4 linked regions of the Arabidopsis thaliana genome follow. The protein of the gene in region 1 interacts with the protein of each later gene in a pairwise test. Each region holds a gene or a part of one and is shown in the gene's direction. Other genes may lie near its edges.

The links.
Region 2: the proteins of AT3G07500 (region 1) and AT2G24550 interact in a two-hybrid assay, tested with the Arabidopsis thaliana proteins (one large-scale study listed by BioGRID).
Region 3: the proteins of AT3G07500 (region 1) and AT1G48040 interact in a two-hybrid assay, tested with the Arabidopsis thaliana proteins (one large-scale study listed by BioGRID).
Region 4: the proteins of AT3G07500 (region 1) and AT3G55240 interact in a two-hybrid assay, tested with the Arabidopsis thaliana proteins (one large-scale study listed by BioGRID).

Annotation. Positions count from the first base shown.
Region 1 is NC_003074.8:2,387,974-2,395,834, forward strand, and holds AT3G07500 (Far-red impaired responsive (FAR1) family protein), read left to right. Parts: upstream 1-4,242; 5' UTR 4,243-4,413; coding exon 4,414-4,414; intron 4,415-4,959; coding exon 4,960-5,411; intron 5,412-5,535; coding exon 5,536-5,736; 3' UTR 5,737-5,805; downstream 5,806-7,861. Other genes in the region: AT3G07470 (transmembrane protein, putative (Protein of unknown function, DUF538)), read right to left, coding at 1-370; AT3G07480 (2Fe-2S ferredoxin-like superfamily protein), read left to right, coding at 1,053-1,532; AGD11 (ARF-GAP domain 11), read left to right, coding at 3,216-3,677; AT3G07510 (maternal effect embryo arrest protein), read right to left, coding at 5,922-6,513, 6,595-6,602; GLR1.4 (glutamate receptor 1.4), read right to left, coding at 7,148-7,498, 7,585-7,861.
Region 2 is NC_003071.7:10,427,356-10,435,298, reverse strand, and holds AT2G24550 (major centromere autoantigen B-like protein), read left to right. Parts: upstream 1-5,811; 5' UTR 5,812-6,247; coding exon 6,248-6,570; intron 6,571-6,824; coding exon 6,825-7,239; 3' UTR 7,240-7,443; downstream 7,444-7,943. Other genes in the region: AT2G24560 (GDSL-like Lipase/Acylhydrolase family protein), read right to left, coding at 2,366-2,571, 2,671-2,929, 3,136-3,762; AFR (Galactose oxidase/kelch repeat superfamily protein), read right to left, coding at 7,767-7,943. UniProt on the Arabidopsis thaliana protein: Probable transcription factor. Promotes slightly the tolerance to cadmium (Cd) and to oxidizing chemicals (e.g. diamide).
Region 3 is NC_003070.9:17,717,036-17,725,415, reverse strand, and holds AT1G48040 (Protein phosphatase 2C family protein), read left to right. Parts: upstream 1-3,524; 5' UTR 3,525-3,717; coding exon 3,718-3,888; intron 3,889-4,371; coding exon 4,372-5,352; 3' UTR 5,353-5,832; downstream 5,833-8,380. Other genes in the region: Ku80 family protein, read right to left, coding at 1-15, 114-400, 558-961, 1,036-1,167, 1,306-1,357, 1,436-1,528, 1,904-1,918; mtLPD1 (mitochondrial lipoamide dehydrogenase 1), read left to right, coding at 6,275-6,547, 6,734-7,984.
Region 4 is NC_003074.8:20,471,099-20,479,408, reverse strand, and holds AT3G55240 (Plant protein 1589 of unknown function), read left to right. Parts: upstream 1-4,076; 5' UTR 4,077-4,703; coding exon 4,704-4,739; intron 4,740-4,862; coding exon 4,863-4,968; intron 4,969-5,387; coding exon 5,388-5,533; 3' UTR 5,534-6,074; downstream 6,075-8,310. Other genes in the region: PDE329 (calcium homeostasis regulator), read right to left, coding at 1-107; AT3G55230 (Disease resistance-responsive (dirigent-like protein) family protein), read right to left, coding at 6,665-7,585.

The DNA of each region.
Region 1 (7,861 bases):
AGTATATAAGACCAGAACTCGGCACGTCGACTCGGATTCCTTTAACCGGAAACCACAAGAATAGCTCTTGCGCCGAGATTCCAGACAAATCAGAGATTTGAGCAGAACCTATAGTCCCCGTAATATTGGCGTCGTAATGTATCTCAGTCTCGTATTTAGCCTCGCATGCCTGATTCAAATAAACCGAGAATCGTCCCGTTTCGACGTCGAAGGTGAATTCTCTGACACCTTTCGGGAATATCCCCGAAGGTAATCCGTTTGCCAGGAGGATCTCGTATATAGTCTCAGTCTCTGATATCGCCGTGGAGATCGAGATCCCGGCGACGAGAACGAGACATAGAAACGCGATTTGAACAATACGAAGCATCATCGGCTTATTCTTCCCGAATTCACGGTTTGTGATTTTGACAGATCTCTCTCTGCTCGTTTATCAGGAAATTGAATTAATGGGTTTAAGGGAAGACGAAGAAGGAGAAGAAGAAGAAGACGACATTCTGGTGACAGCTTGAAACAGAGTGGATCAAAATTTTATCAAATTATTGAAGGCGGAATTTGGAATGGAGCAGTAATCTTGTGCTTCTCATTCCATAGATGGAACAGACCAATGAACGATAGCCACGTCGGATGTGTGTCCACCAAGCAGTATTTAGTTAAATGTGGCTTGTTTCGTTAAGCCTTTGGTTCTAACTTCCTAAATTTCTTACGCGTTATTGGAAAAAGTAGGTGGACCGTATCACATGGGAACAGAGTGGATCTGGCCGGACTTGCGGCTATTCGAATGTTTATAGATTTTTTTCTGTCTTAAATGCCTCATAAAATACATAGAAGCAATGTTTTCTTCAACCCAAACTAAACCAAACAAAATATTTGGATTAATATTGACCGGTTCGATTGAACGGTCCAGTTAGAAATTTGGGCTTGTAAGTATGTAACTTATCTTTGGGCTTATAAAGAAGCCCATCTCCAAATTAGCGTTTCACCCTCACTCACTTTTCCGGTTTCAACCATTAGCACAAAAAATCTGAGCTCCGACCAAAAATTGGGGAACGACGATGGCGACGACTCTTCAGAAACTCTCCTCTCAAATCCACCGACTCTCTCCATTCACCAGATCTCTAATCGTTCGCACATCCGCAACGTCTGCTCCTTCTCCGTCTCTGGGATCGAAGAAAGTCTCTGACCGAATCGTCAAGCTTTCTGCGATCGATCCCGATGGATACAAGCAGGACATCATTGGACTCTCTGGCCAGACTCTCCTTCGTGCGCTCACTCACACTGGTCTGATAGATCCAGCATCGCATAGATTGGATGACATCGAGGCTTGCTCAGCGGAGTGCGAGGTTCAGATCGCAGAGGAATGGCTCGAGAAGCTCCCGCCGCGTACTTACGATGAGGAGTATGTGCTGAAGCGTAGCTCTAGATCCCGTATCTTGAACAAGCACTCGCGTCTTGGTTGCCAAGTTGTGTTAACGCAGGAGCTTCAAGGTATGGTCGTCGCTGTCCCTGAAGCTAAGCCTTGGGATATTCCGTAAGTTTTTGTTCTTGAGGATCTCATAAATGTTGGGTTCGTTCTCAATTTGGCTAATAAAATTCGCTTTGGAAATTTCGGTACTCTGAAGATAACTCCATTTGAATCTGTAATTTTCGTTTGCTTACATTTAAATTTTGTAATGTGGTAAAGAACTCTGCTTGTTTAAACGATTCCCTGCTTCAAGTATGGGTGAATGTTGTTTTCTTGATTTCATTTTCGTTGCTTCTTCTTCCATTAGATTGGTTAGAGACTATGGTGTTATATCTAGAGATTGGTAAAAGCAATTGGAAAATGCTAGGAGGTTATTGAACACATTGTGTTGAATTGTGGTTACCTGGTGTTGATATCTGTTGGTCTCGAGCTCAATTTGCCAACAGCTTTAAGCATAGAGAAAGAGAGTATATAGAATGATGTGACTTCTTAGTACTGGAATGAGATTCTTTTTACAGACCATATAGTAATCTTCCCGGTTTCGGTATGCTTAGGATTAATAGGCCATCCTTTATATTCTCGGGTCTAATTGTCTAAGGAGGTGTTTCCGTTGAGTTAGAAGAATTAGTGGAGTTTTGATCTTTCATTCTCATAACCACTGCATCTTTGGTGAGGCTGAGATAACATTAAATATACTCTGAGCATTGTAATCACAGTTTCTGCTTTTAGGGAAAGGGAATAAGGTAGAATGGATCTGGCATCTTATACCAATGGTTTAGTAGATTTGATTTGAGCCTTGTAAACAGAAACTCTGTTTGTAGGATCGATTCTTGTTCAGGGTTTGATTCAGTAACAAAACATATTGAGTATACTGTTTAGATATTATTTTCCTACCAGTAGTTTCTAAACACAGCTTAGGCATCTTTAAATGTTGCGAATAGTTTTCTAATTCTTACTCGTTTTTCAAAATCCGAAACCAAAGCAAACTGAAAAATGGATGCTCATCTCTATCTACCTGAAAACGTCGATATCAAAATCAATTTCTGCTTGTGGTGCACTTAACACAATAATCATTACTCTCAGTCTTATAAGGATGTGCAATACAACATAATTTAAACCTGTTAACAGACTATCAATCTGTTAAGAAGTGATTAAGACCTTGACTATTTTAAAGGCTATCTCTTTTATTTTAATTTTATTATTGTTCAAGTTGTCTCTTCTATTTTCGAAACATCGCCATGTTCAAATCGACAAAAAAAGAAGTGTATAGAACAAATCCACTTAGAATAAGTTACATCTTATGTAGATAAAATAAATAAATAAGTTTTGTAGAAAATTAACCAAACATATACAAACAGACGATAAGCATTTGAATTGAATTATATTTGTCTATACCATAAATTGAGTCTCAAAAGATTTAACCTGAAATAACTATCCTAACGGAAAACTGTTTTGAAGATGACAAAATACGAGATAATGTGTAGATTCCGTGTGTATCTCTATTGATAGACTTTAGTTTTTGTGTATTCTTGAAGGACATAAACCTATTTTAAGACCAGTTCAACAGAAAACTGGTGCAGACCACGATCACAGTTGTAATGAGTTTTCTAAAATGGTAACCACTCCTTTTCCTTTAAGAAGCAGTCCTTCTTGTCTCCTGCCCTAATTCTCTTCTTCTCTATAAACCCATATTCTAGTTTTGTTCTCATTCATTCTCTGTTCAAAGCTCATAAATAATAAACTCCAATTAAGAATGGATCAAGCGGAGCTTGCCAGGATCTTCCAAATGTTCGACAGGAACGGTGATGGCAAAATCACGAAGCAAGAGCTGAATGATTCATTGGAGAATCTAGGAATCTACATTCCAGACAAAGACTTGGTGCAGATGATCGAGAAGATTGATCTCAACGGTGATGGGTACGTGGACATCGAAGAGTTTGGAGGGTTGTACCAGACGATAATGGAGGAAAGAGACGAGGAGGAAGACATGAGAGAGGCTTTCAACGTGTTTGATCAGAACCGGGACGGGTTCATCACGGTGGAAGAGCTAAGGTCTGTGTTAGCTTCCTTGGGGCTCAAACAAGGAAGAACCCTAGAGGATTGCAAGAGGATGATAAGCAAAGTTGACGTTGATGGAGATGGCATGGTGAATTTCAAAGAGTTTAAACAAATGATGAAAGGTGGTGGATTTGCCGCCTTAGGATCAAACTTGTAAAAAAAAAACTCATTTTTCGGGTTCGGGTTTGAGACCCAAAATCATTGGGTATTTTTTTCTTCGGAATGATTATTAGGGCAAAACCTTGAAAGCGATGATGAATGGATTTGCAAAAGAAAAAAGCTCAACAAACTTTGTGAGCTTTGTTTTGAATGCTCCTACAAAAATGTTGTTGATGAATTTGCTTTTCGGATTTTGAAACATAACCATGCGAATCTACGGGAACACTTGATGATTCTTTTATTATTTATATATTTGGGTGTTGCACTTAAAAAGTTATCACTATCTAGCTTATAATCATAAAATGATGAAAATATATTTGTATTTGTAAATTACAAAGATTAAACACAAACAAACAATCGAATTTCTACCCAAAAAAACAAACAAACAATCGAATTTATGTCTTTAAAGTGAAGATTTAGGTCAAAGTAATGGAAAAAAGTGTCTCATGGAATATGTTAGTCAGGCGGTCAAAGTAAAAAGTAAAAAGAGAAAAAACTATAAACTACATGATGTTTAACTCTTCAAGTGACGTCAAGACATAAACTACGTGCCGTTTCGCACTATTCGTAATCCAACGGGCGAGACTGGAATGAATTTATGACCAGATCTTGGTTTTTTCTTGTCGTCTTCTTCACCGCTTACCAGTTACTAACTTGAGCTTCAGAGATCATCATCATCATCACTTCCTCTCTCTGAAGAAAACACAATTTGGAGTTTTCTAATCTTCATTCCAAGTGAGTACTTCAATCGAATCCCTTTTCTACTATTCAATAATTCAATCTATTATTCAAATTCTCGTCTATCTGTTTCGATGATTTTGAGGTTTTCGCTCCCTTTTGTTATCAAATTATGGAATCTGATTCCCAATTTCGCGTTTGTATGTACTCGATTTTCTCTTTTTTCTTGCATGATTACACTTTGGTGAAGTTCAGAATTCGAGTAATATCACTTGAAATTGCTACTCTCTGCCTATTCATTAGGGTTTATGAATACATAGTTTAGGGTTTATGTTTCCATTAGTCACTTCTTGAGGACCTGCTTATCTTCGAGCCATTGTGTATTTGATAAACTTTGGAAGAAGTGTCCACTATATCTAGCGTAGGACTGAATGTAGTAGATTAGAACTGCTAAGAGTTGGTTAGAGAAAGGGGTGGGTAATTTATAAGGATTTTCTAGGGTTTGGTTAGGTATTCGGTAGAGAGTTTCTGGTTTGGTGAACAAGACATAGCTTTGCATCATTTGTTTTGAGTTGAGATGTTTGTGTGTTGTGTTGTGGCAGTGGAAGGGAACTCTTTACCCGAAGAAGATGTAGAGATGATGGAGAATTCAGATGTAATGAAGACAGTCACAGATGAAGCTTCTCCAATGGTGGAGCCGTTCATTGGTATGGAGTTTGAATCAGAAGAGGCTGCAAAGTCTTTCTATGACAATTACGCTACATGCATGGGTTTCGTTATGCGAGTGGATGCTTTCAGGAGGTCAATGCGAGATGGGACTGTGGTGTGGCGCAGACTCGTGTGTAATAAAGAAGGATTTCGTAGGTCGAGACCTCGGAGAAGCGAGAGTAGAAAGCCTCGGGCTATAACAAGAGAAGGGTGTAAAGCTCTGATTGTTGTGAAAAGAGAGAAATCCGGAACATGGCTTGTTACTAAATTTGAGAAAGAGCATAATCATCCTCTCTTGCCTCTCTCCCCTAATGTTCGCCGGAATTTTCAGCTCCCTCAAACACCGGTACGTCTACGCACTTTTCCTTGGGGTAAAAGTAAAACAGTGATTATTGGCATTGATCTAAGAGTTACCAAGAACATAAAGCTCAAAAAATGATATCGAAATCTTGTACAAATGAACTTTTCAGGACGAGAAAGACGCAAAGATTAGGGAGCTGAGTGCAGAGCTGAGCCGAGAGAGAAGGCGTTGTACTGCTTTGCAACAGCAGCTTGATATGGTCCTTAAGGAGATGGAAGAACATTCCAACCATCTCACCATTAACATCAATAGTGTTATCCAAAGTGTTAGAGACATTGAGTCCAATACTTTCACCAAACAACAAACATAATGCTTCATTTCTGTTCATAAAAGCTTAACATCAAATTCTCATAATCCAATGTTCTGTATCTTGTGATTGATTCTTCATTCTCCGAAACAAAAAAACAAAAAACTAGATTGGAAGGCATTGATGATGAAATTACACATTGGCTAATCAAAACAAAGCCATGGACATTATCCAATTTTGACATAGCATCAATGCCAGAAAGCGTAAATGGCGGTAGAGATGTAAATCAGCAGAGCAGAGGAAACCAGAGTGACGAGCGTTGCAACAGCTTGAGCCGCCGATTTGCTGCCGCAAGAGAGCAAACCAAGACGGATCTGAATCACATTAACCATAGAGAGCATCAAGAAGAGACAGCCCATTACAGATCCGACAGCAGAAGCCATCATTCCCCATCTCAAAACCTTGATATTGATGTGAGCTCTGAAAATCTCGTTGACGTCTTTGCTATTAAGAAGGTTTAAGGCAAGCTTAAGACCCTGAGCTACAAGAGAGGAGAAGAGGAAGAAGCTGAAGGAGACGACTTCGAAGACCAGTAGCTTCTTGGCGACGTCAGCACTTGCGTCGCAGCTGGATCGTTGTTCGAGGCTGTGTTGTCCTGGAGTCGCTAAGGAAAGACCAACGAAGACGGCGATGGTGAAGAGAGAGTTCACGTTCACGAGTCCGTCGAGAGCGCTTACGTGGACACTTGTGGTGGCGAGGGAGGATGTTGAAGACGCCTCTGGTGACGTCATTCTCACGCCGTTCTCAGCGCCGGTCATGTAGTTAACCTTCGGCTCAGATCTGCTCGGAAAGGGAAAAAAAGAAACGCAATGGTTAAAAAAAAGATAGATTGATTTTAGGGAAGAGAGAGGGTTTGCTTACTCATACATGAGGGAATCTATTTAAGCAATGAGTTTAGCTTTCCGTCGGGGCTTAGCTTGAAGAAAGAGATGGATTGTCTTAAAGAGAGAGCTTGTCGGAAACACTCTCTCTCTCCCTATCTTTGTACAAACCAGCTTCTTTGAGGCATTTCTTTTCCACGTCACATTAAGTTGTTGACTTTTTCCGATTTTTCTTCTCTTTTTGAATTTTGTTTTTCTGTATGCAGTCAAATGTTAATGGATTTTTGGGTGAATTTAAAAGATTTTTTTTAATGATTTACTATTAGCAACACTTCATAAATAATTTGAATGCATTTTTCAAATCACTAATAAGATTTTCTCTTAAAATTAATGATTAACTTGAGATTTTTCAATCTAATAAGACAAATCATATAGGATACATTCCCTTTTAAGTACCCAATTCGAAGGTTAAAGATAAAAAATTGTCTCAAGCTATGGATGGGATTGACACATATAAGCATATAACGATGTACAAAAGGAGAAGAAATATGAGAATTGCATTTCTGAGGTAAGTGATAAGAAGATGTCAGGCTTCAGATGACTGAATTCTCATTTTGCCTGTTTGGTGTGGTGGGAGAAGGACGAATTTCTCTTGCAAATCGATGACTAACATAACGGTGGAAATGTTTAAGCACAACTTGCCTTTGTTCTCGGTTCCAGGGGATTAGATAGACGATGAGAGCAAACGCAAAAGAAACTCCTGTGATCATAAACAAACCGCGAAATGTGTATACAGTGAGAGGATGGAACGTATCCTCGCTTGTGGCTGACGTCGTTTGTCTCTGGAACCACCAATTCTCTATGGCTTTTAGCTTCTCTGTTCTCCTTAGCTTTTCGATTTCTCTTGACACCTTTTGAACCAAAGGAGAACCTTTCTGGAAAGCCTGAGAGAGAGAGATGGATTAAGTCAAATAAGTGTGCATACCAATAATGTAATAATAGACGAAAGTTTTGGGGGTAAAAGCTTTACAAATCCAAAGCCGTTGGTTACGCTTTCGGTTTCGACAATGACGAATTCTGAAGGGTGCTTTGCAACAAAGAGCTTTACATATGGAACTTCATCGACGATAAACGAGATAGTTCCATTCCTTAAAGCATTTGTAAAATCGTCAGCTGTCTTTAATCCCTTGTATCTCGGTCCTTGGAACGTAGGATTATCATTAACCACATTTGCTGCAATAGAGGCAGAAAAGAAGCCAATGTTTTCGTTTGATTTCAACCCGCGTATCTGTTGAACCGTCATCACT
Region 2 (7,943 bases), on another chromosome or scaffold:
TTATTCATTTAAACCAAATTATAAATCAGTTTGAGTTTAGAAGGTAGGATTAAGTATTTTGAAATGAATTCTTGGAAATGGTGTTAGCGTCATAATAATTAGCATAGCATTTTTTTTTTTAATATCTGAAAGTTCAAGCAAGAAGGTCTTACATCTTCTAGAGGCGGGATCCACAACAAATTATTAAATTCATCATATTTGGAAAACGGATTCTTCTCAACGGGCGTCGAACCCAGTTGGGAAATTTACCACTTTATTCATATATAAGCATCCATCAACCTAATCCATTTCTTATTTAACAATTGTTTGCCAGTCATGCGTTAAGTTTGTTGCTATAGTTAAATCTAAAACCTTACACTCTAAATTTTTAAATAACATTGTCTATATTCATCTATGTCGTCGATATGTTTAGATGGTTGATAGTGAAAAATCATAGTCTTTTAAGTATTTATGGACGTGGTCTACTGGATAAGTTGATTTAGACATTGCGAAGCAAAGCATCAGAGCCACCACCTCACAATCACTATGACGCAGCCACCGTATAGAAGGCAACAGCGATGGAGCCACCACATCGATCGAAACCGCCGACGGGTTTCAGAATCTGGTCCAACACATTTCTCGTGGCGTATATTTTCGTTGGATGTCGAGGCTGAGAAGGTGATCTCGAATCTCTTTTCGACGCCGTCAAATGTCAAAGCCATTGTGTTGAGGAAAACAAAGAGAGTGAGAAACAAATAGGGAGAGAAAATGATTACATATTGTTATAGTATTAATTTATTATATAGAATTAAATGAGTACCCAAATAGGTTACTTGTTTTCTTAAAAAAGTTGATTGTAACTTTTTTATTTGATTATTTTTATGTAAGATTTTCTCTAATTTTATTTTCTAATATTTTTTTATATGTTCCACCTAGAAAAAGCAAAGCAAGACCAAGTTTATTTCCTAATAAAGATAAATTACATTTTTTGTCAAAAATATAATACCAAATGTAGTGTAGGTTTATAATGCAAATGCATTATGATAACTTATTTATTTTATAACTCTGTTAATATTTTATAGTTGTTCTAGAATTATTAAAATATAAAGTTTGCTCATATTGTTTTTAAAGCAAAAAGTACATAAAATATAAGCAAAATAGAAAATGAATTATAAGTAAAACATATGTAAATTCTCAATATTTTTAATTTTATTCATCCAATCTCTATTATATATTCGTATGTTGTATTATTTCGTTATGATCATGCTTTATATATATTTTTTTTGTTTTTAAATTAAAGCTAATAAATATAAACTTAAAAGGAGTTAATTGAGTATTTTTTTTTAAATGCAATTTGTTTTTTTTTTTTATGATAAGAACATCTTAAAAGAAGGAAAAAAAAATCATTATACATATGATTATTTGAGAAGTCTATTTGTATTACATATTTCTAATAGGAAACTGAAATTCTCTATAACATTTTAACCTTTAACCAAAACAAAAAACAATAAAAACAAAAAGATAAATTTTCGAAAACCCAATTAGACAGGGAATTGGATTCTATGTGTATATGTGTATAACTATGGCCGACAACAAATTTTCTGAGCACCAATATTGTTTTATTACCGTTGAGTCTCGGTGTTCTATTTGGTGGTGAGTCGATACATACAATCGATGATTTTTTTTATTATCATTATTATTATTATTATGACTTTAACGATCTATAATTGTTTAACAAGATCATATATTACGATTTGTACATTAACTTTTTCATTATGGGAACCGGTCTTGCATCGTTTTGGTACATAAGAGATAACAATATCGACGTCGCTCTAGATGGCGAGCCTTTCATATATCTCTGGCCTCTCTACGTCATCACATGTATTGCCGATTAGGTTGTGTGGATCTACATAGCCGTATACGCTCCTTCAGAAGATGACCGTGTCAAATTCTTGAAAACTAATTTTCTAGGACCTATACGTCATATCTTTGGCTTTACGATACTCTTCTCCTTCTTCATTCTATTTCTCGCTTATCCACTCTATGTTTTGGAATACCCTTTGCCTTGTGGCTCCTAATGTCCTTGCTCTATTCTTTTTTCAAGTGCTATGATAATATGGATGAGGAACAGCTACTACGAATATATGAACACGACGGACTCACAATTTTGTCGTAGAATCGAGAATAACTAAAAAAAATTTAGTTGTTGCTTCCTTTTTTTTTTTTTTTCTCTTTAACCTAATACATAACTTATTTTATTTGATCTATACGAGGGGTTTTAAAAAAAAATTTAACTTAATTAACTAATATTTTCTTTCGTTTTGTCAACAAGTGAAAGCGAACTGATTTAGTATAGTACTTGAGATCCAGAAAATTGCCAATATAATTATGACTTAAGCCTCAAGCTAAGCCACACGCGGATCTGAGTATCTAGAAAATTGCCCATATAATTATAAGTAGCTTCGGATGGATGAATCGAGTCAAAGAACAAAAACTCCGAGTGATTTCTACACGTTGGAGAAAAAGCATTACACATGAAGCTCGTCTCCAAATGCCCTGTTCCACAACATCCTCTCTTCGTCTCTTTAAATCCTGTTTTAGTTTCCACATCAATGAACATATATAATCACTGGTCAATATTTATCTCATAGGATACCTTGCCAAACAAGAAAGAGATTGTATCATCTATACCGTATTTGCTAGGGTTTTGCATCATGTCCATCATAGGGTCATAGACATTGGAGTAAAGGATCTTGCTTCCTGTAAGCGATGCTTCGATTTGAGGTAATAGATTCTGAAGTTTCTGATTGTATAAGACAGAGTCTCGGTTCTCTTGTTCCAAGCAGAACCTTAGAGCGTTTCGGAATTTAGCAGTCATTTGAATCGGTAAACAACCCATCGGCGGTAAACCTCCTACCATAATTTTCCGGCAACCTAAACTGTAAAGCTCCTGCACACACACTAGAAAGATTAACAAGACGAGTGGGAACCCTAAACCCTATCCACTAAGCCCTAAAAACTTCATTCCTAAATGTGTGTCGAATAATGCATTATAGACTATTCTAACTAAGTTATTAAAATGTAGTTTTTTAAAATTTTATTGCAGAAAAAGGTTTTGTTGTAGAGGTAAATCGAGCAAATATTTGAAAACATTACCCGCACGAAATTGTCAAGCCTTTGAAGAACAAAGTCTTGGTAACCAGAAATGTGAGGAAACTCAAGACGCCTTGAAGGAATATCGTAATAGTTCAAGATAAAATCGTTAGGCCCTGCACTTATAACCACCAAAGCATTTTTTATGATTTCCATAGCTTTCTTGTCTCCTACGATACTTTTAAGACGAGCAATGTAATTCTTGAACATCTTTTGTTGGTCCAAGACACGAATCGCTTGCGTAGAGAGACTGGTATGGTCATCGTAACCCGCACCGGCTGATGCAAAACAGACTCCGGTTACAATCTCTTGGTCAGAGAGATTTGGTTGTAAGAAGGGAGGAACAAACTGTTTGATGTTGAGTTTTGTTGCGATTATGTCGGAAAAGATTTTGCCATTTGTAAATCTTCCACTAGCTTTGTGGTTTGGGAGATCGATTCCGTAAGGAAGATGTTTGGCTTTGAAGATTGTTTGTGAGTGGTAGTTGTTGTTACCTGTGTCAACTGTTGAATCGCCAAAGATAAGAATCGCTGGAAATAGTGGTTGCGATGTAGCGTTTGTGGCTGCGTCGCAGGACGAGAGTAGTGCTGCTATGAAGAGAGTGAAGGTTATGGTCTTAGAAGTCGACATTAGTTTGATTTGTATTGTGTCTACTGTCTAGCTAGTGTTTTGATTAATTTATAAGGAATTTTGATTGTGTTTTTTCTTCTTGTTGGACCTTGCTGGATTTCTGATTAAATGTGTGTGTGTGTTTGTGTTTTTTTTTGCTGAAAAATAAAAACAAAAGCCGGGTTATAGTATTAATAAAGATTTTAACGACTGAATAGAGAATATGGTTACCTAAGCAAGGTTTTAAAAGAGGACCTAAGTTAATACTTAAAGCAAAGTGTTATTTTTTGCTAACCATTTTTAGTGTATAGTTTTCTTTAGATAAATCCAATATATATGCTAGAAAAGACCAAATACTTGGGAAGTGAAACTTATCATATTGGGATGCGTCTGATACAAAAACTTGGCCCCAGAAGTTGCTGAAAAATGGAGTCTTGGAGATCAGGTTTCACATTTCATTTGAGTAAAAGGTATATGAATATATGATGGTAAGCGTGTTTCCCATTTGTCTGTGTCGAAGAGTAAAACAATTGATATCACTCACGGGTCTGTCTAGTTCTCGTATTTTTGGCATCACTCTCTGAAGCCACACAACATGAGTCTTCCTTCAACTTCTCCAATAATATATTGGCGTTGCCGACACCAAATGTCGGCTCTGAGTATAAGTGGGAGAAGGTTGGGCTTGGGCTTCCAGATCTATTTCTATATTATGGGGCCATAAATACATGCAAAATGTTATCCATTAGATTAATTGAACTGGTTGACTCAACCCAACTCAAATAAATTTGGGTTCGAGATTTCTTATGGGAGAATATAACCCATCTATTTATTTGATGGGTTGAAACTTATATACTTAAGACTCAAAAGTTTAAACTGGCTATATAGGTTATACGAGTGTTGGAAGTAATTTTGTGTCTATCAACTCGATTATATAAATGCGGACAAATATACACACGACACAAGTATACACACAACTAACATGTTCAATTAAAAAAAAATGCGGCAATCATTCATCAAGTCACTAGCAAACAACAACACAGCTAGTTCACATATTCGATTTATACAAGTCAAACTACCAATTCTTTTCAGTATCATCGTCAAGATCTAAAGTCTAACAACGTAATTATAAACAAGAGGAAATACATTAACATTAAGAGCTTAACAGATTTTGATAATTAATTTAATAACAGGATGACAAAAAAGTAATATCTTAAAAAATGTTTCATAGTCCACCATTGAATTTTCTAAAATAAAATGCCAGAGGTAAAGCTAAACAGGAAGATACCCTTTAGACACAATTAATAGACTTAAGTTAGCCACATTTCATAAACAAGATTATCAGTTAAAGAGATAAGGTTAGATTTATCTAATTGGTCTAATGATATCCCTCCATATATTATGTTATTTGATCTATATCAACTCATGATTATAACAAAACCTAATTGCTTTGAACTGTATAAAAACCAACATTTAAAATCTTAGGATTGGATCATACAATAATTTGATCTCATGTATATGATATTGTAAAATAGATGATTTTGGATTCATTTTACATTTTAAACATTCATGACTCAGCAAAGTAATTTGCTAATTAAAGTATAAAATAAACCAATATTCGCATTTTGAACGAGTCAAAGTTCTTGCTTCCGCACTAATCCAGCATTAGCAAATTTTCATTATAATATAGATTTTTTTGTATCATTAACGATATTGGTTTTAATTGTACTAAAAGTAAACGAGATAAGGTTTAATTTGTCCACTTGTACTAAACTAATCATTCAGATAGTACTAATTATATATTTTTAAATATATTAATTTCCATTTAAAAACATAAAGTAAATCATACACGAATATTTTTGTAATCTTTTGACTTATTAACAGAAAAAAATCAGCATCTTAATTTTGCATACCAAATATTATCCATCCAATTGAATTGATATAACTAATCAAGATTTTTTTCCCTTTTTCCACATATTTCTAAAACATCTTAAAACATTTAAAGAAACAAAATCAAAATATAAATGGATAAGGTTGAGATATGGTGTGATAGTGACCACCGAACTTTCGGTACAACGACATACATCGGATTAAACGGAGACAGTAACCCGAAACGTCCGGCAAAAGTCCAAACTTAAACCAATGAAAACTCTCCACGTCAGCAAGACCGTGTCTATACCGTCAAAGTCGCCGTTAGCGTGCCTAGGACTATTCTATATTTAGGAACATGTGTTTCCAGACTCATAAATACGTATAAATATTCGTATTCAATACGTAATCGTATTTTTATACGATATTGTCGTTATAAATGTAAATGAGAATTTATTCCATTTTTCTCGTTCAGTGTTGTTTTGCATTTCACCTTCTTTTGTATATCTCTCTTCCTATATCATTAACCTGCGCTGGTTAAAGCTCTTCACCTACGCACATCGCCGGCGATTTATGATCATCTGAGTCTTTCGGGTATATTCACAGGCTAGAGAAAGAGATCTTAATCGGAAAAGTTTATATGGAGGTTATGGTTGGTTCGTCGTTTGGAATCGGCATGGCGGCGTACGTTAGAGATCATCGCGGTGTTTCGGCGCAGGATAAGGCTGTTCAAACGGCTCTGTTCTTGGCTGATGAATCAGGACGTGGTGGATCACAGATCGGGATTGGATTAAGGATGAGTAATAATAATAATAAGTCGCCGGAGGAATCTTCGGATAGTTCGTCGTCTATCGGAGAAAGCAGTGAAAACGAGGAGGAAGAAGAAGAAGACGACGCCGTTTCGTGCCAACGAGGAACACTTGATTCGTTTAGTTCTTCTCTTGAAGACTCTCTTCCTATTAAGTAAGTTTGGGTTTGGTTTGGTTTGACTCATGAATGTATCTATAATTGTCTTTTACTATGTTCTTGATCTGAAAATTTGATCTTTATACTTTTCTTGGCAAGTCTCATCTGCGAATCTGAGTGTTATGGTTTTGGTTAAATCTTGAAACCCTTAAGTTAAAATTTATGATTTGGGATTTTGTTATAGTTCAAGTTAGTTCTTGGTTTTGTTTGGTCTGAATACTGATGTTTGTTTTGTTTTTGTTAATTTTCAGGAGAGGATTATCGAATCATTATGTCGGGAAATCGAAATCGTTTGGTAATTTAATGGAAGCAGCGAGTAAGGCGAAGGATTTGGAGAAAGTTGAGAATCCATTTAACAAGAGGAGGAGATTGGTTATTGCTAATAAGTTAAGGAGGAGAGGAAGATCTATGTCAGCTTCGAATTTTTACTCGTGGCAAAACCCTAATTCAATGCCTTTACTTGCACTCCAAGAACCTAATGAAGAGGATCATCACATTCACAATGATGATTATGAGGATGATGATGGTGATGGTGATGATCATAGGAAGATTATGATGATGATGAAAAATAAAAAAGAGTTGATGGCTCAGACTCGAAGTTGTTTCTGTCTAAGTAGTTTGCAAGAGGAAGATGATGGTGATGGTGATGATGATGAAGATGAATGATCAATCAAGTAACATTGTTTCTTTTAATACTTGTTTTTAATTTGTTCTTCTCTTGTGAATTTGTTTTATTAAAGGGAGAGTTTAGAGGAAATTTCAGTGATAACAAATGGTGGAAGATTTGATTTGTTAGGAATAATCATTATTAATCTATTCATTAGTAGCAGCCTTAAGACTTTTCCTAATCCCAAAAGACACAATTCTTCTTCTTTTTTGGTGTGGATAACCTTTAGTTTTAACTTTTAAGAATATTAATATACAATTATTACATTATGAACTGTATAAGAGGATAAGTTAGGTTGTCAAGAAAAAGATTGGGTCCTCTCAAATTTTTACATACGCAAAGAGTGATGTTGTGCCAACTATTTAAACGTATATTTTACCCTTTTTTAAATTATTATCGAAACTACAGTCCAATGATCTGGTTGGTTGCCGACAAAAAGGAAAAGTAATTGGTTGGTTAGATTTAGCCAGTGAAAAGGGTTTTAGTGAAAAGAGTTTACAAATTCAAAACTAACAACAATTACACATCAAACATATAGCACATGACAACTAGCAGGTGAAAACTGAATAGAACTTTTAGGAGACGAAACCATCCTCCACTCAACACTAAAATCCCCATTTTGCCCTTCACTCACTCTCCCTTCCGCTACGTTAATCCCACTGGCCACCACAAACACACGATCATCAGCTCCCGTCACGGCGAA
Region 3 (8,380 bases), on another chromosome or scaffold:
TTCATGTAATAATGTCTTCATTGACATGCAGAGAAAAACACAAAACAGCATTCTCTCAAACTTTAACAACCAAGAGTTTACAGGCAAACATAGATATATGTCTTTATGTTTACCGCAGTATATTTGACGCCTCAGTAAATCCCAGAAGCTTCATGCCTTTGTCAGTTTTAAACTTGAGTGTTTCTATCTGATCTGGTGATATAGGAATAACCTGAGGTCCATAGCGAAAGCCCTTGATCCTTTCTTCTGGAGCAATAACCTCAGTAGATTCTGCAGTAACTTTGTAATCATAATCAACTTTTACTTCATGTTTGGCAAACTTGTCAGTTGGAGGCGCTTTGTCAGAATACATTTTTAGAGTGGGAAGTCTCTCCTCAGCCACTTTCTTATAAACCCACACCTACAAAATTTCACATTCTTATTTTCAGAAAAAATTTCACGAACAATTATATAAACGTGAATGAACTTAAGTACTGAATAACAACAAAGAACAGCAAGTTCGATGATATCTATAAACTCTGCACAACAAGCAAAAGACACAACCAAAAAAGCGTTACCTTAATCTTCATTGTTGGGTTAATTTCAAGGTCACCCCTGAACAAAGTAACTGGAGCCACCCTCCGGGTCTTTAAGGAACCAAGCAGTGAGAGTGGACTATCAACATTCACTGTTTTGGCAATCGCGTTGCTGGAGAATAAAGTCAACAGATGATCATTCTCCTCTATTACTCTCTCATGAGCATCACCACTTAAATTAGACCTCATAACAATGCTCTCCATCTTAATTCCCTCCGCAGCCATTTTCATAGCAATAGTGCTGACTTGATCATCTTTCGTCCCTTCAAATGGATCTTTGGTAGGACAAGCTGCGTTCGTGATGAGACACATCCGTTTTTTCCCCTTGTGTGCATTACCATACATCTTTATAAGCATATCCATCCCAACAATTAAAGCATCAAGAACTGAAGCCAGTTAAAGAACCAAGAAAATGGTAGCGAAACAGTAAAAATAAGCGGTAAACTAGCTAGCAGGATACAGTCTCCAGCTACAGTTCCTCGAGGAAGCTGCTTCACATGCTCTGCCGCTAATTCATCAACAACTCTGATATTCCTTAAAACTGTAACATTCTCATATCCACCTATCTCCCTAGCAAGCTCGTTTCCAGTTTCTGCAGAGGTCACATGAAACATTATTATCAAAGTACATCAACAAGCCGATAATACTCCAAGAAAGAACCATTGCAGTACTAAAGAGGATAGATTCCTAACTTCCTACTTTAATCAGTAATAAGAATAGATAGAGAGACCTTCAGTTCCAAAGACAACAATTCCAACTTCATCATACTTGTTGTAAATCAACTGCAACAACAAACCAAAACCAATAAGGAAAGATCCAAAATTCATGAACAATAATTTCAGAAGAAAAAGATCGTATACCTTCTTCTGAAGTAGCATTGAACATGCCTTTTCAACATCAGGGAGAACACTACGCATCGCAGGACCTACATCGAGCACCAAAACCAAACCCTCCTGCTTCCGATGAACACACACACACACATCGAATTAAAAGTAAAATCGAGCAGGACTAATTTCTCTCAAATGAAATGACAAATTAAAACCCTAAATTACTCCAAGAACAGTTCCAAAAATGAATCAATGAGATATCCAGAACATAATTGAGCATAAAACGAAGTCAAAATCAGCATAAACAGAATTATCAAAGAAGAAATGGTATGCAGCAATGTAGAATAACATGCACGAAACTAAGTAGAAAAAGAAACATCGATGGAAAACAAACAGAAGCTGAAGAAGGTATTAATTTCATTGAATTGATTTCTGAAGAAACCTATAAGAAAAAAAAACGAAGGTTAATATGTAACGAAGTAAGATTAGAAGAAATTATACCCGATTTCGTGCCATTGAGGAGTTGTGCTGGAAGAAGAAGGTGAAGAAGAAGAAGAAGAAGAAGAAGAAGAAGAAGAATGATGAGAAAAAGAGAGATGGTGAAACGAAGAAGACGAAGAATTTTTATTTTATTTTTTTGAAAATAGGCTGACTGACTCTAACGTGGCCTTAAAATGAGATAGGCCCATTGGGCTAAACTATCTAAGAAAAAGTCCATATGTCCAACTTCCAATATGGACTCTGTAGATTTAACAAAAATGGGTATTTTAATAAAGTATGTAATGAATCATATCTTATATAGTATATATCCCTCTGAATCTAAACATAACAATTAAATTTTACTTTTTATTTAAAGTTTAGAAATACAGTTACAAAAAATTATTTTCACTATATTAATTATTTTTCCATTTTAAAACCTCATAAACACATTATCATATTTTAATTTTTTTCAGTAGGCATCCTATATTTTTTTTAGTAGGATCCCAAACTTGAATTTTTCCATGTACCGATCGGTAGGCATCCTATATTAATTATGTCGCAAAGATGTGGTAAGACCCGACCTTGAGATCGTCGAGGATAAAGGGAGAACAAAGAGCATTTTGAGAAAGAAAGTCAACCCACATTTAGAAGAACGAACAAGATTCAATTATTCACAAAGGATATCAAATCATCAACTTCAGTGAAGTCACGCCCAATGCTCAAAATCATCAACCTCGCGTCACCACACACATATTTGTATACACTTGTCTTGTTTCTTAACCAAGAATACACGTATGTAATTTATTTCGCCGTCAAATAATGATTTTTCTTCAAAAATGCAAAACACATACAAATAGTTAAAAATGTTGTTGCGAACTTTCAACGTTAAAAAAAAACAGTTAGATTATATATTATATGTTTACTACTTTGTTTACTCATATTATTATTTAATTTGGTATAATTTCTGCATTTTAAAAACAATAGATATGTAACAACAATTAAATATTTTCTTTTTGTAAGATCAATTTCAATTTATTAAAACATCAAATAGTCTTATGTTTACCGTTTATATATGTTTCGGTTGGATTTTTAGAATCTTCTAAGCCATTGAATTTGTTCGTCATAGGCAGTTCGGTTGGAACTTTGAATTTCAGATATACAAAAAAAAATAGATTAAAAAAAAAAGAACTAAAATCACAAAAAATGTATAAGAACTTATTACATATTCTCAAATAAAACTGGACCTTTCCCTTTTTTTTTTGTGAGTCCCATATGGAAGTTGGGCTTAGAAAATTAAAAGTTGAAAAAAACTTTTTAATTTAAACTAAATATTTAAAAACAGTCTTTTTATAGTTTATATATGTTCCAGTTAGATTTTTGGAATCTTCTGAATCATTGAATTTGTAAGTAACATTTGCGGTTATGTGGGAAATATGTGAATTTAAATATACAAAAAAAAGTAGATAAGAAAACTAGAGATCACAAAGAATATATAAGAATCTATTACACTTTCTTGTCCAATATGGTATATGGAAGTTGGGCTTAAAAAATTAACTCTTTTTTAGTAAAATAAATATTTTTAAAACAGTATTTTAATACATTAAAATTTATAAATTATATTAAATATAGGCATGGGTCAATTAAGAAATATGCAAATAAACAACCAACACAGAAACCAAACCCTAATTCCCCATTCCCTGTCTTCTTTATTCTTTTAGGCGAATTTCAATTGCGTCCAAGCAAAGCACCACCTCTTACCCCGTTGATTTATTCGTCGATTTGCCTTTCGGTGAAATTCGCAATCGGATCTACTCCATTTGATTATTAACCAAGTCATGATTTTGAGTCAAACAATGGTTGCTGAAGCTGAGATCAGGGTTCTTGACGTTAAGTGCCATATCTCCGCTCCTAAAGATCAGAAGAATTTTCAGATCGACGAAGTTCGTGTTTCTGAGTCTGTCCGTGCTGAGATTTCGGGTTCCGCTGAAACGCCTCGATTCGGATCGGTATGTGTTTTTGGTTTCTTGTTCTAAAAATCGCTCATTTTTATTAATTGGGTTTCTTAGAAATTTCCCTTAGAAATTAGATCATGTGGATTCTTCTTTCTCGTAATTGAGTTTGTTGGTTTAGATTAGGAGTTATAATTTGATTTTGAGATTAGACCGTTGCTTGAAATTCTGATAATGATCCGATTCTGCATCAGGGCTTATATTAGTTTTGGGTTTCTTTTTGTTCTCTATTGCATAATAATGTTGAATCCTACATACCCTCTTCGATTAGGTTCGTGTAGACAATGGAAAATGATAAGATTAGTGTTGTGCTTTGGAAAGTTTATACCTTTGCATGAAGAATTAGTTTAGGTGTTCATGAATCAATTTTACATTGTTAGCGGAACGACTCTGATGCTCTGTTCTGGCTGTTCTGTTTCTTTAATTGTGCCAAGTTCAGGAATCTTAAACAAACCTTCTTATGTACATTTGTTGTAACAGGGCATGAGTTGTGTAACTACTACCATTGGAGAATCCGCCAGTGACTTTATCCCAACTATACGTTCAGGGAGCTTTGCTGACATTCGAAGTCGAGAAACCATGGAGGATGAACACATTTGCATAGATGATTTGTCAGCTCACCTTGGATCCTACAACTTCTCGGTACCAAGTGCTTTTTATGGTGTGTTTGATGGTCATGGTGGGCCTGAGGCAGCAATTTTCATGAAGGAGAACTTGACTAGATTGTTTTTCCAAGATGCTGTGTTTCCAGAGATGCCCTCCATTGTGGACGCGTTTTTCTTAGAAGAACTGGAGAATTCTCACCGAAAGGCTTTTGCTTTGGCTGATCTTGCCATGGCTGATGAAACCATTGTCAGTGGTTCATGCGGGACAACCGCTTTGACCGCTCTCATAATCGGACGACATCTTCTTGTTGCTAATGCTGGAGATTGTCGTGCAGTGCTATGTAGGAGAGGAGTGGCTGTTGATATGTCTTTCGATCACAGATCAACATATGAGCCAGAAAGAAGGCGGATTGAAGATTTAGGAGGATACTTTGAGGATGGATACCTCAACGGAGTCCTAGCTGTCACGCGTGCCATTGGAGATTGGGAACTGAAGAATCCTTTCACTGACTCCTCTTCACCACTGATTTCAGACCCAGAGATTGGACAGATCATTCTAACAGAGGACGACGAGTTCTTGATTTTGGCATGTGATGGTATATGGGATGTGTTGTCAAGCCAGAATGCAGTGAGTAATGTAAGGCAAGGATTGAGGAGGCATGGTGACCCGAGACAATGTGCGATGGAACTAGGAAAAGAAGCAGCGAGGCTTCAGTCATCAGATAATATGACGGTTATAGTGATCTGCTTCTCCTCAGTTCCGTCTTCACCTAAACAACCGCAAAGAAGAAGATTAAGATTCTGTGTTTCTGACGAAGCCCGAGCTCGGTTACAAGCAATGCTTGCAGGCGAGTGAAAGCAGTGTTTTTGGCAGTATGTACAAACAACAGGGATCGGGTGTTACCGATCAAACCATTATTTCTCTAATTTGAGATTCGATTCGATGAGATAAAATAAGAGACGTAGAGAGTGATAGAGAGTTAAGGTCTTGTTTGTAATGTGGTTTCTCATTTTTGATTGATCTGTTTTTTTGGTTTGTTTCAGAGAGAGATAGAGAGAAAAACCAGCCTGAAGTTTTGGTAGGATTATTGAAACTGATTAAGAGGATTTCATTTTTGTTCTTGAGGATTAGTGATGTTGTACCCATTATTGATTGTTTTAAGGAATTTTAATTTTAACTATTTTGAATCTAGATTTTGGAGGTTGGTTTAAGAATCTCTCTCCCATATATGTGGAATTCAGAGAGTTTCTTTCTGACTGTGAAAGGTTTTGGAGGTTTATCTCAAAAGCCTCAAATCCTGTCCTTACTTGCTTCTCATCATCTCTATCTTTATCTCTTTATCTTCTTCTCCTCCAACAATCTTCATGTCCATATATTTCTGATGAGTATATTTTTTGATAATTTTTACAATACAGTATTTTTCATTACATATACATAAATATTTTTTGGTGTATTTCTTTACATATGAATTAGAAGTCTAGAACTTATAAAAGTAATTCAAATGTTGACAAGAAAATAATAATAAATCAAGTGTGCATTAAGGTAACTTTGTAATCAATTTCAAATATTTAGTGTACATAATTGAGATTAGAAATTCAAGTATTCATTCATATAAATGATTTATTTACTTATCTATATTTTTGGTCAATTAAGGAAATATTAAAATATTTGTGATTAAAAAGAGAAAAAGGGTTCTAAGAGAGCCTCTCCTCTTTACATTTGCCGGCTCTGTTCATCTCTACAAGGAGCCAAGTCTCTCTTTCTCTCTAAAACAACAATGGCGATGGCGAGTTTAGCTAGGAGGAAGGCGTATTTTCTCACCAGAAACTTATCAAACTCTCCCACTGACGCTCTCAGATTCTCCTTTTCCCTCTCCCGTGGCTTCGCCTCATCAGGATCTGATGAAAACGACGTCGTCATCATCGGCGGCGGTCCCGGTGGTTACGTAGCCGCGATCAAAGCCTCTCAGCTTGGTCTCAAAACCACTTGTATCGAGAAACGCGGCGCTCTCGGTGGTACTTGTCTCAACGTCGGTTGCATTCCTTCCAAGGTCAAATTTCGAATCATCTCTCGTTTCTTCAATCAATTTGTTGATCATAGTTGACGATTTTGATCTGTTCCTTTTGTGGATGATTCTTTTGAGAGTTAATTACTGTCTTTTGTGATGATTATCATTTGCTTAAGCACAGTTATTCCATAATTACTAAATTCTTGGTTGTGTTTATTGATGTATTAGGCTCTGCTTCACTCTTCACATATGTACCATGAGGCGAAGCATTCCTTCGCTAACCATGGTATTAAGGTCTCTTCTGTTGAGGTAGATCTTCCTGCTATGTTGGCTCAGAAAGATAATGCGGTTAAGAACCTCACTCGTGGTATTGAGGGTTTGTTCAAGAAAAATAAGGTGACTTATGTCAAAGGATATGGTAAGTTTATTTCCCCAAATGAAGTCTCGGTGGAGACTATTGATGGAGGAAACACTATTGTGAAAGGTAAACATATCATTGTTGCTACTGGCTCGGATGTTAAGTCCTTGCCTGGTATTACGATTGATGAAAAGAAGATTGTTTCGTCGACTGGAGCGTTGTCTCTATCGGAAGTTCCGAAGAAATTGATTGTTATTGGTGCGGGGTATATTGGGCTTGAGATGGGTTCTGTTTGGGGTAGGCTTGGATCTGAGGTTACGGTTGTTGAGTTTGCTGGAGATATTGTTCCTTCGATGGATGGTGAAATTCGTAAGCAGTTTCAACGTTCTCTTGAGAAGCAGAAGATGAAGTTCATGCTCAAGACTAAAGTTGTTTCTGTGGATTCCTCCTCTGATGGTGTGAAGCTTACAGTGGAACCGGCAGAAGGAGGAGAGCAGTCTATTCTGGAAGCTGATGTGGTACTTGTCTCAGCGGGAAGAACACCGTTCACTTCTGGACTTGATCTGGAGAAAATCGGAGTGGAAACTGACAAAGCCGGGAGGATTCTGGTGAATGATAGATTCTTGAGTAATGTCCCAGGCGTGTATGCTATTGGAGATGTGATTCCAGGACCAATGCTTGCTCACAAAGCCGAAGAAGACGGTGTTGCTTGTGTGGAGTTCATAGCAGGCAAACACGGTCATGTTGATTATGACAAGGTTCCTGGTGTTGTTTACACTCATCCTGAGGTTGCTTCGGTTGGTAAAACCGAAGAACAGCTGAAGAAAGAAGGTGTGAGTTACCGGGTTGGGAAATTCCCGTTTATGGCGAATAGCAGAGCTAAGGCTATTGATAATGCAGAAGGATTGGTTAAGATTCTGGCCGATAAGGAGACTGATAAGATCTTGGGCGTTCACATTATGGCGCCAAACGCTGGAGAGCTGATTCATGAGGCTGTTCTTGCGATTAACTACGATGCATCAAGTGAAGACATTGCTCGAGTCTGCCATGCTCATCCCACTATGAGCGAGGCTCTTAAGGAAGCTGCCATGGCCACCTATGACAAGCCTATTCACATCTAAAAGGGAACAAGGTATGTCACACTTTGGTCTGATTTGGTTTTGTTCGGTTTTGGTTTAGATTTTTGATTTGCGGTTTTGATTTCTTATGTATCTAATCACATCCCACACTAGGAAGACCTTAAAGGAGTGAGCCACCTATGACAAGCCAAATCGATATCTTAACCTGGTTGGATTTTGGTTCGGTTTTCTGTGGTTTAGCCTTCAATTTGTCCTTTATACTGTGTTTTTATTCGTTAATGTTCAGATACGTGTTAAGCCTGATCTTTAATAAAATATTCAACATTCACTCAACACTTTTTATTGCTTCCGGCTTGCTTTCTAGTTTTTGGTTTACACTAAACCCAAAAATTGATTAGTCAGTTCATACGTTAATAATTAGGGGATATACATTATGCA
Region 4 (8,310 bases), about 18 Mb from region 1:
AGTTTGGGACGAGACGAAGAAGTGGTGGAGGGATTACGAAGACGGAGATGGAAGAAGGAAGGAGAGATTTGGTGGAAGGAAGTGGAGATGTGAGTGACAACCACCATGGCTGTGATATATGGAAGCTTCTCTTTATGCTGTTTGGATGAATCTCATCTTTATATACGTTATCTTCTCCATTCTATATTTTATTATGTTTTTTTAATTCTTCCATAATTTTTAGTTTACTAGTGAGTGACTAATTTCATATGTAATTTTTCTTAATTTACCTGGTTATTTTTGTTGATTAGAAAATTAACCGTGAAGATCCTAAGTCAAAATCATTATTTATAAGTCTTTGTTAGCAAATTAATCAGAATTTCAGACAAGAACAAATACTGGATAATGCTAGCAGATCTGAAAGGAAAAGGAAAAAAGAAGAAGCGAAATACTCATACTGGGCTTACTTATAGGCCTATGACAATTTTGTAAAGCCCACTTTTAACGATATCGTGAAAAGAAGAAGGATAGCCAAAAATTTGGTGATATTTTTTCTTTTGTGGCGGCAAGCGATATTTCATATTTGTATCTTATATTATATATAGCCAAAAATTTATACATATTTAAGAAATAGTTTGATTTTTCTTAGAAAAATACATCTAGTATTTGATTATTTAAGAAACCGAATGCCACACAAAAGTAGTATGTATTAACCGTGTGTGTGCATAAGCACGAAAATGTCGAGGATAAGATACATTGTATTTGTCCAAAAAAAACAGATACATTGTATTAGCTAAATTCATCATATTCTATGTAACACACGGCAAAACATTTGAAGACTTGAATGATAATAATAATATCATCGTTATTGAACAACGGACGTTTGATACTTCAATATTTGCAGCATTGAGAAGCGTTGAAATTGAAACGTCCAAATATTGTTGTCCACGGACAGTTTATACTTGTTCACAATGTCTAATCTTGATATGAAAAAAAATATATACAGAGAAATAAGGAATCCTAAGTTGAGGCAGACCAAGATCTTCAAAATAGTATAAGGCTTTCCTAAATTGTCCAAATATCGAATTATAACCTAAAGTTTGGATCCACTCTATGAATGGACCCGGATAAAGTTGTAGTTTTGTTTCGTAGCTTGAACAATTTGTGTATTGTACAACATGGTGAGTTTTTTGTTTTTTTTTGTGCTTTCAACCAAACTCGAGCGTTTAGTAAAACATTTGAGTATTTGCTAACTTGAGCAATAAATATCATTTAATCGGTTGATACTTGATACAAAGTAATCGAAACGAAACTTTCGATTCCAATCGTGATCTAATTGGGCCAACCAACTAGCTTAGATTTATTAGACAGAAAAAATCAAGACACCTAAAGTATTCATAATCCAATACGTAGCTAGATGCCCCTATAATATCATTACGTCTCTGATCACTTGTTTTGGCTCAAAGGAAAAAATACAACAAACATATTCCGTTATGCTGACACGGCATGATCTCATTGGATAACAGAAATTCAATCACATCGTACACTTTAACCCAAAAATTTAAAGATTTTTTTTTGGAGCAATTTGGCTTTAGAGAATAGGAAAAATCAAGTGGAGTGGGTGTGGTCAATAGAATCTCCACTTGTCCATGGGACAAATGTGGGTTTGCTTTCTGAGAGCTTTTGGTTTGAAAATTGAGTTAAGGCAATAATAATAGTGAGTCTACTGCACCACCTTTGTCTCTTTTTGCACTGTCTCGTCTTTCTGCTGTCTCGTCTTCTGTGATATTATTTCGAACCTCTTAATGACTTACTAGTATTAATCAGAAACCCCACCAAAGTTTCATTCTTGAGAAAAATCGAACGATAGACATTCAATATGGGTAGGGTAATCAATAATTCTTGATGGCTTTGTCAATTTGGACAAAATGTGATCCATGAATAATATATAGTCTCTTTGCTAAATTATGAATATAGTTGCAAGAGAATAACCATAAATTACACCAGTATCTAATAGCTGATTTAGAAAAAAGAAAGAAAATAACTATATGAAGTCATGTAAGACTCAGCTTCCACGACCACAAGATACCAAGCATAATAACCATGGAAAGTAGTTATGATGTGCCTTAATTTATTTGGTAGAAAAGTTAAAAACTGAAAGTTCATATTTAACTGAATGCGCTTTAGAAGTAAAATCCGGTATACTATACGTATATGATTATCTCTAAGCCAAAAGAATATAAGTATGAACACAGAGAAAATAGAACAATGAACAGACAGAAGAAAATAGAGTAAACTCCGTAGTAATTTTTATGTAATATATACGTTACTCGTTACAATACATACACTATTTTCTTGTAACACATAAACCGTTTTCAAATTCCTTATAAATGAAATATACGCTCATTATAACTACATAATCACTCATACGGATTCGAATGAACTTTGATAGCATGATCTTAAGAGCTGGATAAGGAAGTATCTTAGGTAAAAGAAATAAGTGGATGAGAGAGAATAGGCGTCTTGGTTTGTAATCTTGTTGACGAGGAGAGGGAATGAGAGAGAAAGTGATCATGAATAGGGTTTGAATTTGATTCGAGGGAATAGTTGCTGTTTCAGGACTCAAATTGAGAGGTCCACATGATGAGGAATATGTGTAGTTTTATTTAATGTCTGAATTTGATGGATCCTTCTGAAACCTTTGATTTCGACAAAACACCCACAATGTGTTTGTCTCTCACTTCTTTACGTAACCTTTGTAGATTCTCTCACTCTCTCTCATGTCCATTTGCGCCACGTCACTCAGATGGTTGTACCATTTGCGATTATTTGATCTCAATGTGGATTGTTATACGTGACATGTCATCGTCCTATTGGTTTAGAATCAAAAACTTTAATCTCCCGCGTCCCCTTACCCAACCAAAAAACTATTGATGATCACTTTGCCTTTTTTTTGGCCGTCCATTATTGTAACGTATACTACACTTGTCATGGTGGTACGACTATACCCAAATTAATACTTTGAGGAGTCAATTACGTAGATGATTAAATTATGAATATTATCTGGAAGAGATCGACGACATTTGGTTGGTGTAATCAACTTTTTCGGGGGTTTGTGTCATTCATAAATAACAAAAATTTCAGAAGAAAAAGAACTAAGTTAATCATTAGACAGAAATTTCAATAGCGTAACTTCAAAAAACTAATTATAAAAAAACAAAATCAACTGTGTAACTTACGTCAGATGTAATGTTTATTAGATGTAATAGGTTCCACTAATCCATATCAATATTATCATTTATGAGATGGAGTGGGATTTTGTCTTTTATGCTACATTAACAAGTACATGATAATTTCTGGGTTTCTTTTACCGGTCTTAATATTAATAAACATGTTGGTATGCATGGTTAAGAGTTAGGACTTAATTAGGAGGAGGCTCATACATATATGACAGAACTGAAAAATTCAGTAGCAAACATTTATCTATAACATGTCGTGTAAATTACGTTGGTTCTTTTTACGACAGAGGTTTACTAATGTATATGGATTATCTCATACTCATAATATGTAGTTACAATATATATATATATATATATATATATATATATATATTATAACTTTTTTGAATCTAGATTATATTCAAAGAAAAAAGAAACATTTATACATGTGAATGCAAAATGCAAACTTTTTAAAAAACAAATTACAAAGATTTTCTATCCTTAATGTTGCTCGATGCAAACCACGTTTGGATCTCATCCGCATATTTCTTCACTTCTCCTTTTCTTAAAGTGCTCAAGTGATTTCAAATGTTCTTATCAATCAACTTACCAGTTATATATTTTATATGCATGGTATTCCCTATTTAAACAAGTTCAACATTCCTTTAACAAAAAGAAAAAGAAAAAGGAAAACAAGTTCATGCCTCTCTTGCCTCACCTTAAGAGTAGACGTACCGATGTTCAGGGGCGACCTAGGCCTCTAATACGTCTTCTTATGATATTTCAATTGTCAAATCGATGGTCACACAACGGTAGTCATCGTAGATATACATTTGATATGTTTGTTACAACAGTTATCTTTTCTTTATTAATGGTAAGCCTTAACATAAGTGTTAAGACTTATGATTATATGCCTTGTATATTTCGCACTATGGTTTTATATTGTTTCAAAAGGAATTCGGTGAGTTACAATTGTTGAAGTCATTATTTTATTTGCCATTTTTTAAAGTATCAATCCTTTAAAATTCCGAATTTATCGTTTACTCTCCTTTTATGTAATCATGTGCTCTTAGAGCCAATACAACTAACTTTCATTTTCTTATATAAGTTAAAACATTAACAAATAGGTATAGATTTAATTTCTAGAAGATTATGGAAATTAAAACACGACTAAGTGTTTTTTTGCAGAAAATGTATAGAGAGAGAGGGGCCATGGATCACGTGGAGGATGCGTGAGATGGAAATGAAAAAACGAAGGGAGAAGAGAGAAAGAGTGATTTTACAAATCTCCTCTAATCCTTTCTCAGCCAATTATGATCAATCTCCCACGTGGGGCTTCTGGCCCCATGCATGCATATCATCTTTCAACTATTCACTCTTTTGTCTCCTTCTTCATCTTTTTGCGTGATCTTCTTCTATATATGGCTGTCTTTATCTCCACAAGTGGCTTTTAGAAAGAAGACTCTCTTTTAAGTTTGGGTGTTAATTCTAGGGTTTCCATTAACAATGGCAGATTCTTCTTCTGCTTCTTACATTCACATGGTAATATTATATTGATTCAAGAACCTCATGTACTTCTCCGGCCGTCGATTCTATGAATGATCTTATCTATTTATCTTTTACGTATGTACCTCAATATCTTTGGATGTGTGTATGTATGTATAGGTGCAGCACATGATAGAGAAATGTTTGATCTTCCATATGAGCAAAGAAGAGTGTGTGGAAGCTCTCTCTAAGCATGCAAACATCACTCCTGTCATCACCTCTACTGGTTTTAATTCCTCTCTCTCTCTCTCCTCTTTTTTAATACTTTTTACCTTTCCGTAATCCTTATAAACACACAAACATATCTGTACCTATGTACTCTCTAACGGGATTAATTATATGTATAAATTATGGAGCTATCATCATATTATGATACCATCATTTAGAATTTGATCATGTAATATGTACTTAATTAGCTACAGATAGGATCTAGCGTGATGGATCGATCTTCAATATTTCTATTCATATAAGTGCTCATGCATAATCAAATTAATGATTATATACACTGACTTGACTACCTGGCGACTAGAACTTATACATATACAAAAAAAGCCAAAGAAAATATAAAAATCCTTGCAACATATATATCCGGCCTATATATTTTGTTATCATAATATTAATGAATTGGAACAAAATAAATGACAGTGTGGAAGGAGCTGGAGAAAGAGAACAAGGAATTCTTCAAGGCGTATGAGGAGAGGCAAAGCAAACAAGAGCAAATGTCGGAGGAAGAGACAAACCAGATGATCCAGAAGATTATCTCGGATTCATCTAAAGAATCCGACGACTGATCGCGATGTTCGATCGTTAGATTTCGAAAACCTTATAGTTTATATATATGAATCTCATGAAAACGATTTATCCCTGACGCATGCATGTTTATAAGTAAATCGTTTTTTCATCTTAGCATCGGTCCAACAAGCAAGACAGCAAAAAAAGGAGTGATGACACTCTTTTTGGTACGTTATACGTACGTGGTCCACATAATATTGCCTCTGTTTAATTATATATAATGAAACGGACGCTAGCTCATACATGGATCGATGGTGTGGTGTTTTAATTGAATGTATCGTGTGTATATATTTTCAAATAAACTATTTATTTCGGGTTTTGGTCACCTTAAAAGGCTTTAGCACTCTTGGAAATTTTGTATCATGGTTTCCATATGCTTGCAAGTTTCGGAACCCAAAAGTCCAGATTTTAGCCAGATCAGTAAAAACGTTGATCAGCTGTTTTTTGGTCCATGATCGGCTGTTTTTTTTTTGGGGAACGTCTATGCAGCCATTTTTGTTTTTAATAGAAATTTCTTCAAATTGAAAATTTACATTAATTAAACAAAAACAATAACATGGAGAAAAAGTTCTTGAACAATATCCAATTAATTTGCGATTAAGTGGTCAAAATGTGTCCGATCCTATGATCAGCCCATAACTTGAACGTTGTTAATTTGTTATACCTTGTGCAGAAATGTCTTTTTGGGTCAAAGTTCATAAGAAAACTCTCACTTAACATGCGTTGTTAAGTGAGTGACTACTCACAAGAGTAGTAACACGTTTCAATTTCCAGCCCACGTAAATCTAGACTACATGGCTCCTATGTAATAATTCTTTCTTTTTGTTGGTAAGTAAACAAAAAATTATAAAAAGGATTTATTCTTACGTTAACTTGATATAAAAATGGAATTTCGAGAGTATATAGTATATACAAACGAATAAATAGACCGGTTGAAATGCAAAAGGTATGTATTTGCCAAAAAACAGAGAGTTTTGAATATAAAGAATTAAAGACAAAGATTGTCATTTAACTTTCTTTTTTTCAGTACAGTAAACGTGCACAACACAATATAGACCACACATTAAACTTATAAAGAAGAACATACAAACGAAACAGAGGAATTTTCTTTCAACAAATGCCATAACTCTTCAAGCTTTGTAGTATGTAAGATAAACACTGAAATGGAGAATGGTATCATGACCATCAGTAACATGTTGGTCTTCCTGGTTGTGTAGAGTCTCCACGACAGCATACCCTTTAGCATGCTCGAATCTCCCAGTTCCACCCACAACAGCGATATGCGACGCATGAGAAGCGGTTCGGTGAACCCCAAAGAAGCTGATGGCATCATCAAGGGTGTCATGATGATCATGATCTTCGTGGAGTAACACTGTCAACGAAAGGGTCTGGCTAGTTCCATCCAAAGAGCTAGCGAGATAAAACCCTTGGGCTCTCCCAATGATCGCAGAGCCCAACTCATGGCCCTCGGTGAGCTCATCGTCAACCACGGTGATAGAGCCAAACATAAGCTGTTGGAGGGCAGCTATGGGAGGGAGCTGACCCGTGGTTACAAAGGGAAGGTTGTTGGAGCTAAGGGATCCTTGAGAGTTACCGTTACTGTTTTGGATTACGGTGTTGGCTTGAGAGCCACTAAGTCCTGTTAGGAGTGGAGCTGTGTTTGGATTGATTAAGTTGTTGATGCTGTTTGCGTTCACAAGCGGCACTGCGTTATCTACTGGGAAAATGTTGTTGCTGGATTTAGAAAACGGTATTCCATTCACCTCTGTTTGTGCTACTATCCCTGTAACCACACGTGCTGATGGGTGTGACCCGCCTAGCACGTCATGCATAAAGAACTCTAGGATTGGCTCGGGTCCTCCCGTGGCGGGTCCTGGGAGAGGAATTGGTGTTGGAGTTGTTGTTACGGCTTGTGGACTATCATCTTCCTCTTCCGGTACCTGGGGGACTAATTGTGGCTGAGTTTGAACCTCATCGAGAAGTCGAGCGGATTGGACATTGGAAGCTATCAAGAGAAAGAGAAAGATTGTAAGGCTAAGAGCTTTGGCCATTGTTCTTTCTTTTTGTTTTGGTTTTAGGTTTGTGTTTATTTTCTAAGGCTAATGGGTTTGTTTATATAGGAAGCGCGGAGGATGATGAGATCATGGAGTGGAGTTGTTGTTGTTGTTATTGTCGTTGCATTCTCATACTCTAGTTGATTAATGGATTTAACTAAACCTCTAGGTTTTATTCATTTTAATTTGCTACTTACTCCTCTTGCTTCTTCTAGCCTTCTTGATTTCTTTGACCTATTTTTGTTTCTTTCTATCTATTCGTTAGAAATTAGAATAAATCATGTTAAGAAATTAAATGGAAGAGAGATCTTAATTAGCCATGTTAATTTCATACATAAGTAACATAATTATATTTGCAATATTAACCAATCACATAATTATGCAATACCACTCTATTTTTGTGACTTCACAAATTTAATGAGAGAAAATGTTGTCATTCTATAGTTTATCTTTATATTAAGTTCAATTTCTTGTTTCCACCAAAAAAAAAAGTTCAATTTCTTGTAATCAATTTTTGTTAATGAAAAATGATAATCGGAGACAAAACCAGTCTTGGACTCTTGTCATTATTTGGGCTTAAATCTAAAATAAGATGGGCCAATATTGCTATATTAGATCCAAAAGTTAGGCCCATGATTGAATCACCGCCTAGCAGAGGAACACCACTTCCGTCGTAGAGCTTTGGAGCTATGGCGGTAATTCATTATATAGGGTTTATTCTT